Linked DNA regions of Drosophila melanogaster. The protein of the gene in region 1 interacts with the protein of each later gene in a pairwise test. Each region holds a gene or a part of one and is shown in the gene's direction. Other genes may lie near its edges.

Evidence for each region. Proteins that work in one complex are often made in the same cells at the same time.
Region 2: the proteins of CG5888 (region 1) and TwdlF interact in a two-hybrid assay, tested with the Drosophila melanogaster proteins (one large-scale study listed by BioGRID).

What each region holds. Positions count from the first base shown.
Region 1 is NT_033779.5:16,445,269-16,450,372, reverse strand, and holds the start of CG5888 (uncharacterized protein), read left to right. Parts: upstream 1-1,903; 5' UTR 1,904-2,059; intron 2,060-2,867; coding exon of another isoform or gene 2,868-2,976; exon of another isoform or gene 2,977-3,043; intron 3,044-3,579; exon of another isoform or gene 3,580-3,653; coding exon of another isoform or gene 3,654-4,312; intron 4,313-4,383; coding exon of another isoform or gene 4,384-5,044; exon of another isoform or gene 5,045-5,095; intron 5,096-5,104. Other genes in the region: Idgf2 (imaginal disc growth factor 2), read right to left, coding at 1-570, 630-1,187, 2,868-2,976; Idgf1 (imaginal disc growth factor 1), read right to left, coding at 3,654-4,312, 4,384-5,044.
Region 2 is NT_033777.3:4,245,011-4,248,861, forward strand, and holds TwdlF (TweedleF), read left to right. Parts: upstream 1-2,009; 5' UTR 2,010-2,050; coding exon 2,051-2,074; intron 2,075-2,133; coding exon 2,134-3,174; 3' UTR 3,175-3,303; downstream 3,304-3,851. Other genes in the region: TwdlG (TweedleG), read right to left, coding at 3,841-3,851.

The sequences.
Region 1 (5,104 bases):
GCGCCACGCCCCCTAGGTTCTTGACACGGGCATAGGCTGCCTTATTGGAGGCGGAGTCGGGATCATCGTAGCTCACCCAAATGCCCTCGGTTATCTGACCATCCACTGGGCGATAAGCTATGCCTCCGAATCTCTTGGTGGGATCAGAAACTCTTCGCAGTGGCGATTCGTTGCCCTTGAGGAATTGATTTTGGGGATTGGACAACTTTCCGCAGATTTCAGCATAGCTTAGTAATCCAGGCTTTTGGGACTGGAAGCCCTCGGGTGCTGGTCCACTTGTCTCCGGCACAACAGGAACTCCTTCGAGACCCGAGTCCTTGGTAAGTTTCCATGCATTACCATAGGTGGCAACTCCCAAATTGATCTTATTGGATGGGAATCCCTGAGATAGCCAGTACTCCACCTGGAAATCAGCGTTAAGGTGTGCCAACCTATCCTTCGATCCATCGGGATGGTAGATGGGAGCACTGTAGTCCGCCTCCTCGGGATTACGGGCTGGTGTCAGGAAATCGAAGGTAGCCAGGTTCACAAAGTCCACCAGGCCATTCAGAGCGGGAATATCAAAGTACCCTAAAGTCATAATTAAACTAAAGTATAATTACATATTGTTATTATTTTGAAATACCTACATGTTGAGTTTACATTGGGCAGCACAGTCAGACTGAGCAGAAATCCATCAGCTCTCAAGGAGTCCTTTACATCCCTTACTAAAGCGGTAAACTGCTCCTTATGAAGGGCTGCGTGTGGATCCACTATGAAATCGCCGGTGAACAGCTTCTTAATACTCTTCCATGCCAGTCCAAGATCACCGTGAACCTTTCTTGGCTTATTCTTTGGGAACTGATAGGCCAGATCCAAGCCATCAAAGCCGTAGGTCTTAACCAAGTCATAGGCCGATCGGATGAAACCAATTTGACGAACCTTCTCGCCCTCCAGCAGATCGATATACTTGTTGGGATGATCAGGGTCGATGTCATGATCGCCGCCCACACTCAACAAAACTTTCAGGTGGGGATACTTCCTCTTGAGGGAGGTAACCTCGGAGAACTGATGCTTGTATATGTCCAGGTTCTCGTTCATACTGTACGCCTGTAGGTTTTCACCTCTCAGCCCAGCATAGCCGTAGACCAAGTGGCTGCAGAATTGCAAGGCGATCTCCAGATCGGGATTGAGCAGCTTGCCCAGACCTGGAAAAAACACAGTTTAAATTCAAAAGATGGCATATTTAGTATGCACGAAAAGTACAACGAGCTGCACTCGAATAACAAATAATCCCAGAGACTCGAAGTGGTCATTGCTGTGGGACACTATCTGCGCACAGTGATCCGACACCCAACACTCTCGCTCTCGGTGAAAACTACCGGAGAGCGGAGATCGGAGATCGGTGTATCTCCCCCTGACCAGAGCCACCTCCTCTCGGATGCTGATCCATTGTCTCGTCGACTTCAGTGGCTTAATTGAACGCCAACAGTGTGAGCCCAGCGAGCGGTTTATTATTGTTTGGCTCGGCTGCAGAGCACAGTGGGTTGAGTTGTGTTAAGAGCTTAATGTAAAATATAATCATTTGCATTTATATAAGAATATTTAATTAAACGTTATTTGAAAGCAGAATTTATAAATGAACTTTTCGGTTTGTACCTAAACATATTTCTGAACATACATTTGAGCTGCTAACAAATCAACTTCAGTCATTTTAACTTCTACCTGTTTTAAAAATTTTTACAAATTTAAATTTATTTAATTAATTATTAATTTTATTTATTTACCTATCGAATGCATCTATTGGACGATATTTATCTCATTTTTCCCCTATCCTAAGGACACTGTGCAGCGCTGCTGAGTCACTTGGTGCTCTGCTTGCCACTTGCTCGGATCGCTGGTGCCAAGTCAGCGTCCGCTGGCGGGGCAGTTGTCGTGCTGGACTCGCTGTGTGTTGAACGCTCTGGTTTTTCATTTCGAATGCGTGGGATCGGCTCAATAATATAGACTTAACTCGCCCTATACCAAAATAATCAACTAATTGCCATATTTTGAGAATTCATTCCATTATTTTTGTTTGGTAAGTTACACCCGCTCAAATTAGCTTGTTAATCCGATCAGAACTTCTGCTTTTTATCGCTTTGCGAGCGAAACTCTGCGGGAGAGCCAGTCTCTGTGTTTTATTTTTGAAAAAGAAATAAACTGGCCAGATAAGCCACTGACCTCTATAAAACTAGCTTTGGCTCTCTTTATCTCTCTGTTTCGCTCGCCAGGCGATAAGCACTGCAAGTTGAATTAAATTAAGTCCGAGTTTTGTTTTGAATCAGAAATGGTTATGTAACTCGATTAGGATGCTTTTGTTTTCATTCGTCTGTAAATTTGGCACACGCTACTCAAAAGACAGGCGGTATTTTGGTAGGCTTTTTGGATAACTTTGAATAAATGATTAATACTTTCAATTTTACTCCCATTCCTCATATTTTAGTTCATTTACTAAATGTGTCGTTCAGTTCAAACGTGGCTTAGTTGGTTAATAAGGTTTTACCAGAATTACTGTTTTTCAAAGCTTTTCAAAAGGCATTTTGGATGACAATCAAGTGTGTATATTCATAAAACCTAAGTTGGTCAGTTTTCATTCATTAAAAGAATTTAAAACAGATCAACAACATTTTAGTGAGTAATACTTATAATACTCTAGTGCTAAATGGAACCAGTTTGAACAACTAAATTGTTTTTACGTTGTAACTTTTTCTGTGTTTGATTGCTAGATAGAATATTTTACAACAAGTTAAAACCTCATCGATCTGTGATCTAAGTTTTCTAAAGCTATGTATATATTATTTGTCTGTCATATTCACTTTCTGGAGTATTCCGACCACCTCACTCACCTTCCCTGGTGTAACTCGAAGAGTCATAGTAGCAGACTAAGTTGGAGGCAGCTTCTGTACTTGCCGCAAAGAGGCACGCGACAAACGTAAACCAGATCCACGCCTTCATGGTGCCAGGGATATATCTCTATAGGCACAACCGCAGAGCAGATCAAATGAAATCGAACTGAGACTGAAATCGAAATGGAAAACGAAACCGAAACCAAAACCCCAGCCCCAAGCCGATGACAAAAAGCTTGAGCGGAGCTTTAAGAGGGGTCTGAAAGCCGATCTGAAGCCGAGCTCATTGCCTTACTTATTCTCGCAATGACTTAATTGTGTACACAGAAATTAATGACGACGATTGCGACGAGGCAGACGCAGGGTCAAAACGTTGTGACCTCTAAAATTAAAAAAAAAAAAACAAGCAAATAATCTGAAAACATTGAAACGCGCTTGCTGATTAGAATTCGAAAACAGTGTTTCTGATTGGTTTCGTAAGTGTACATATATAGAACTAAAAGCGGTGGAAATACCCGTCTATACCACATGATTTAGTTTATCACACGCACTATAGAATTCAGTTTTGTTTTGCAACTCGTATGTGTTTGAATATATTATTGTGGGTTTTTAGTAAATTACAAACCAATGATTTGTATTTTTGCCAAAAAGGTTTTTTCTCACTGAGACCGATTATTAAATAATGTGTTCAACCGCAAACATGCGCTTCAATATTTGTAATTCAAATGAAACATTTATTAGAAAACTTAAAATATATGGCTTTGTTAGGCTTAACAAACAAATCATTTATCCCATAAAGTACTTAATTGACCGCAGTATGGGGTACTTTTGGCCAGTGCAAAGTCCACGGAAGTCATCGTAACTTAAATCGAAAAGGGCAATTCCGCCGAGTCCTTTGCCCTTGGCATATACTGCCTTTATTCCAGCAAAATCCGGATCATCGAAGCTCAGCCATACGCCAAAATCTCCATTATCATCTGCTGGCCGGAGAGCGTAATTTCCGTATTTCTGGGTGAGATCCGTGACCTTGCGGAGCGGCGCCAATTCTCCTCTATATTGAGCGGATGCGTTCTGCGACAACTTCGAGCAAATCTCTGGCCAACTTAGTAAGCCCTCAGCACTCTGGATTTGTATTCCGCCGGGTGCAACTCCACATGTCTCATGAACAATGGGAGCACCACTGAGTCCAGATCCCTTCGATAATTTCCATGCTCTGCCATAACTGGCTATTCCCAGGTTCAATTTTTGGCCAGGACAATGATTCTGCAGCCAATAGTTAATCTGGAACTCCACATTCAAATGGGGCAAGCGATTCTGTTCGTCCTGGAAGAAAATCGGAGCTGTGAAGTCCGCCTCCTCGGGATTTCGTAGTGGGGTGAGAAAGTCGAAGGCCGCCAGGTTTATATAGTCGAACTGGGGATGCAGTTTGGGGACATCGAAGTACCCTAACGAAATGATTGATTAGGTGGTTAATAAAATAGTTCCTACTATATGTAAAAATAGGATATATACTTACAAGTGGAGTTCACATTGGGCAGGACTGTCAGAGACAGCATCAGATTAGCAGATCGAAAGGCATTCTTTATATTTCCAACGAGATCGGTGAATTGTGACTTGTGCTCCTCCGCCTGCGGGTCCACAACGAAGTCACCAGTGAAAAGCTTCTTGAACGACTTCCAGTAAGATCCAAGGGATCCATGGACTTTTCTGGGCTTATTACGGGGTAACTGGAACGCGAGATCAAGGCCATCGAATCCATTTCGCTTAAGCAAAATCATGCTGCTGTCTATAAAATTCTGCTGAGCCGTGCGATTCGCCTCCAGAAGCTCTACATATTTATTGGGGTGGGCCTCATCCACATCGCGATCTCCACCCACGCTGAGGAGAATCTTCAGTTGAGGAAACTTCTGTCGCAGGGCGGTGATGTCCTTGTAGTAGAACATGTCCAGGTCCACATTCAGACTGAATAGCTCGAGGGTACCGGACTTCAGGCCCGCATATCCGTAAACCAAATGGGTGCAGAACTGCAGGGCCAAATCCAATTCGTTGGTATGCATTTTGGCCAAACCTTGGCGCAAATACGAGTTGGAGTCATAATAACAAATCAGATTGCTGGCAGCATGGGTCAAACTTGTCACACTGAGCAAGCCCAGTATATAAAACAACTGGAATCTCATCTTTTGGTAGAGACCACGTCCTGACTTTATGGCTGATAATTAGCAACTGAAATCTCGTTC
Region 2 (3,851 bases), on another chromosome or scaffold:
AACAACAACAAAAACCGCAAGCCCGAGGTTCACTTTGTGAAGTATTGAACGCAGAGCGACGCGAAGAACGCCCAGCGCACTATCCAAGCCCAGTATGACTTGCTACCGGGAGTTTCAACCAACTACAACGGTGGAGCCTCGGTCTCCGTCTTGGACTTTGCGTCTAAGGTCATTTCAAGTGGAACTGACGACGGGAATGCGTTCGTTCGCAAGGTAAACGCACCGTCGACAAGCCCGTACTTGCCACCTTCTCATGAAAAGTATTAGTTTAAACGCAAAATAATCAGTATAAGATATAACCGAAGACATTAGTGCCTTTGGTATAACACTATGTTTCAATGTCGTGTTACCGGGAAAGGAGATTAGCCGTGACTATATGCAATCATTACGGACGTAGTCCACGTAGTGAAAAAGAATGTGCCACGGGGACCACAATATGTATAGGAATCAATGATAATCTGTTTTTTCTATAATAATAATTTGTGCTAAACAACTTTATTTAAAAAACATAACGGCATTTTTAATTCTATGCATGCTTAGATAACGTTTTTTGTACCGACAAAACTGTACAGGCCATAAAATTCCCCTTACTTATGGTATTTAATAGTCGTAAAAACAAAAAACAAAAAAGAATGCTGTAGTCGAGTTCCCCGACTATCAGATACCCGTTACTCAGATCAATTCACCACTTTTCTGGTATTTCGATAGATATTGGAGAATAAACTGAGGAAAAATTTAATAAATTTAACAAGGCAAAAAGCTGCGTCTATGTACATGATCTCAACTCTCTAGCCTCTATAGTTCCTGAGATCTCGACGTTCATATGGCCGAGTCGATCTGGCCATGTCTGTCTGTTCTATAAAAGCTGGATGGATTAGATCAAACACCCACAAATCGCCAAAAGCTGCCACACTGTTCAAAATTGTAAATAACATATTTTTAATTTTTTCCTGCCAATTTCGATGGGTTTTTGGCATGTTGTTTTGCCTCCACTTTAACGCTAACAAACCGCCCAAAAAATGTTGCGATTACTCGTTCGCACTCCCTCTAGCTGAGTAACGGGCAATTTATTTCATTTCGTCAAATGAAAACTTGATTTTTGGAATGTTTTCGATTGAAACTTAAAAACATCGACTCGCCTAATTAACGCTCAACTGCCGACCAAAATTCGCTTTACCACACTTTATAAGAATATTTATATTACTCGTAGAGTTAAAGGGTATACTAGATTCGTTGAAAATTATGTAACAGGCAGATCCAACCATATAAAGTATATATATTCTCGATGAGGATCAATAGCCGAGTCGATCTGGCCATGAACGTCTGTCCGTTATTTCCATTACCGTTATTGCCCATTATTTCCAATTACCGTTGTGCAAGTAGAAAACAATTGAACTAGCAAGTAAAAGCATTACCCATAACAATAGTATTGTTAGCATGATTCCAGGTTGGATTCAAGCCATGAAGTGCTATATTTCTGAAGAACTGAGCATATTTTCACAAATATCTTTGAGCTTATTGGTTTTTCTGCATTTTTGAAAAGACTTGTTTAATAACAAATTCATTTATACAACATCTGCGACAAAGCGAATTTTATATGCAGATAGATCGCTTCCCACAATTTTGGTCATGAATGTGTATAAATTGGGTTTCCGTCCATAAAACTTACTTTCTTCATATTATCCCAGTTTTGTCAATCGAACCGCTTTACCTATTAATATTTTGCATATAAATATATTCAGCGTTGACAATGGGGATCTCAAGCGATTATTTAAATTTGAACGCAGCGTTGGTCGCCAAGTTAGATAAGATCCCGGACTGTTCAAGCAGTGCATCTGCGCACACGGATCTGTGATTTGGCAACCGCCAATGTGAAACGTTACATATTCGAAGTTGTGAAGTCTATAATAGATTCATACGATTTATGGTAGTGCCTAATAATTTTTTCATTTATTGGGAAAACGATGCCAGCCTGGACAGATATAAAAACATAGCAATGGGAAGGCAGGGCATCATTCGACCCTAGCAGCTCAGACAGTTCAAAGTGAAAATGAAGCAGTTCGTTGTTCTAATGGTAAGCAACTGGCACATGAGCGATCCCCGCAACAACTAACACTTAATGTGCTCTTGCAGTGCCTGGTGGCCCTCACAGCAACAGCTCCTCAGGGATACAAGTACCAACCTCAGCTGCCAGCCCTTCCCATTGGCAATCTTCGTCCTCTGACACCCATTTCGTCAAGTGGAATATACGCAAGTGGCGCCGTCCCATCTTTCCCACAGGCCGGTGCTCAGCCCGCGATCGGTGTCCAGCCAGCCATTCAAGCCGTGCAGACCATCGTTGCCGCTCCTGCTCCCGCCCCCGCTCCCGCTCCTTTGTCGATCTCACTCCCAAAGGAGACTTTCCTTACTGCTTCGCCCCAGCAAAACCTGATCAGCACTGTGCAGCAGCAGCCTCAGCAAATCGTGTACCAGCAGCAACCGCAGCAAGCCCTTCAGACCCAGTTCGTCCAGCGCCCCGCTATCGTTACCAAGGACATTTACATCCACTCCGCCCCCGAGGAGAATGAGGAACTGCGGCAGGACGAGCCACTTCTGGAGAATGTGCCCATCCGCAAGAACTACCGGATCGTCTTCATTAAAGCGCCTTCCCAGAATCTGAAATATACCGCCGCGGCCCTGAAGCGGGCCCAGTCAAGCAACGAGGAAAAGACCGTCATCTACGTGCTCTCTAAAAAGCCCGATCTCACTGAGATCCAGCAGCAGCTGCAGGTTACCCAGTCTGAGGCCAAGGTTCAAAAGCCGGAGGTCTACTTCATTAAGTACAAGACCCAGGAAGAGGCCCAGCGCGCCCAGCAGGAAATCCAGGCCCAGTACGACGCCTTGGGAGGTGCAACCCACATTTCGGACGAGGGAGTGGCTCCCATCGCCAGCGTTTCGAGTGGCTCCCTTAACCTGGGCAGCTTTGTGCCCCAGCACTCCCAAGCTGGCCAAACCATCATCCACTCTCAGGCGCCAACCATTATCCAGCCACAGGGTCAGCCCATTGTTCAGCTGCAGTCTATTAACCAGGGGGTCCAGGGGGTCCAGCAGCAGAGCTCCTTTGTGCAGAAGTCCACCTCCTCATTCGCTCCCTCGGCGCCATCAAGGAAGTATGTGCCGGCAAAGACTTTTTAAAAAGTTGTAGTAAGAATCCTATCGCTTTCATTGTTTTATATCAACCATCATACTGTAGTAAATTTTAATTTATTTTTAATGCAAAAGTCGAAAGTCGAAAGAAATATAAAAAAATTTAAATCGAAACCCAAAAAGCCTTCTGTTTCTAGTACTCGTTTTTAAGTTTAATCCTTTTAATATTTTAGATAGGTTTTGTTTTAGGATTTGGAATTAATCTTTCATTTAAGGCATAGCTTGAGTTTAATGTTTCTTATGAAAACGCTGTTTATTTTTATCACAAAAATGTTTCAATGGGCTAAGAGACTATGACAATGACTTCTTTCTCGCAAGAAAGTTTGGACCATCTCTTTTGGCATTAAGCCAACAGCCATAATAATCAAGTTTTCGTGTGGCTTAATCGTTGTTATGTAAGTCAAATCACATGCTAATTTATGCGACCGGTTTTCGGCTTGGATGGCTGTCATTGGACTAATGGATGTGGTAACATGGTCCATAGAAAACTATTTTGTTACTTTGAAGTATTGAAACTCGATTTCATATTTGAATATGGCTGCAGAGTCGCTTTCTATCATAAGGCGGAGCTCAAAATATGAACTTTATTTAACTAAATGTGTAAATTACAAGAGTTCAAGTCTTAAAATTACGACAGTGGCCTTGGAGTTGTACCTAAGCACGCA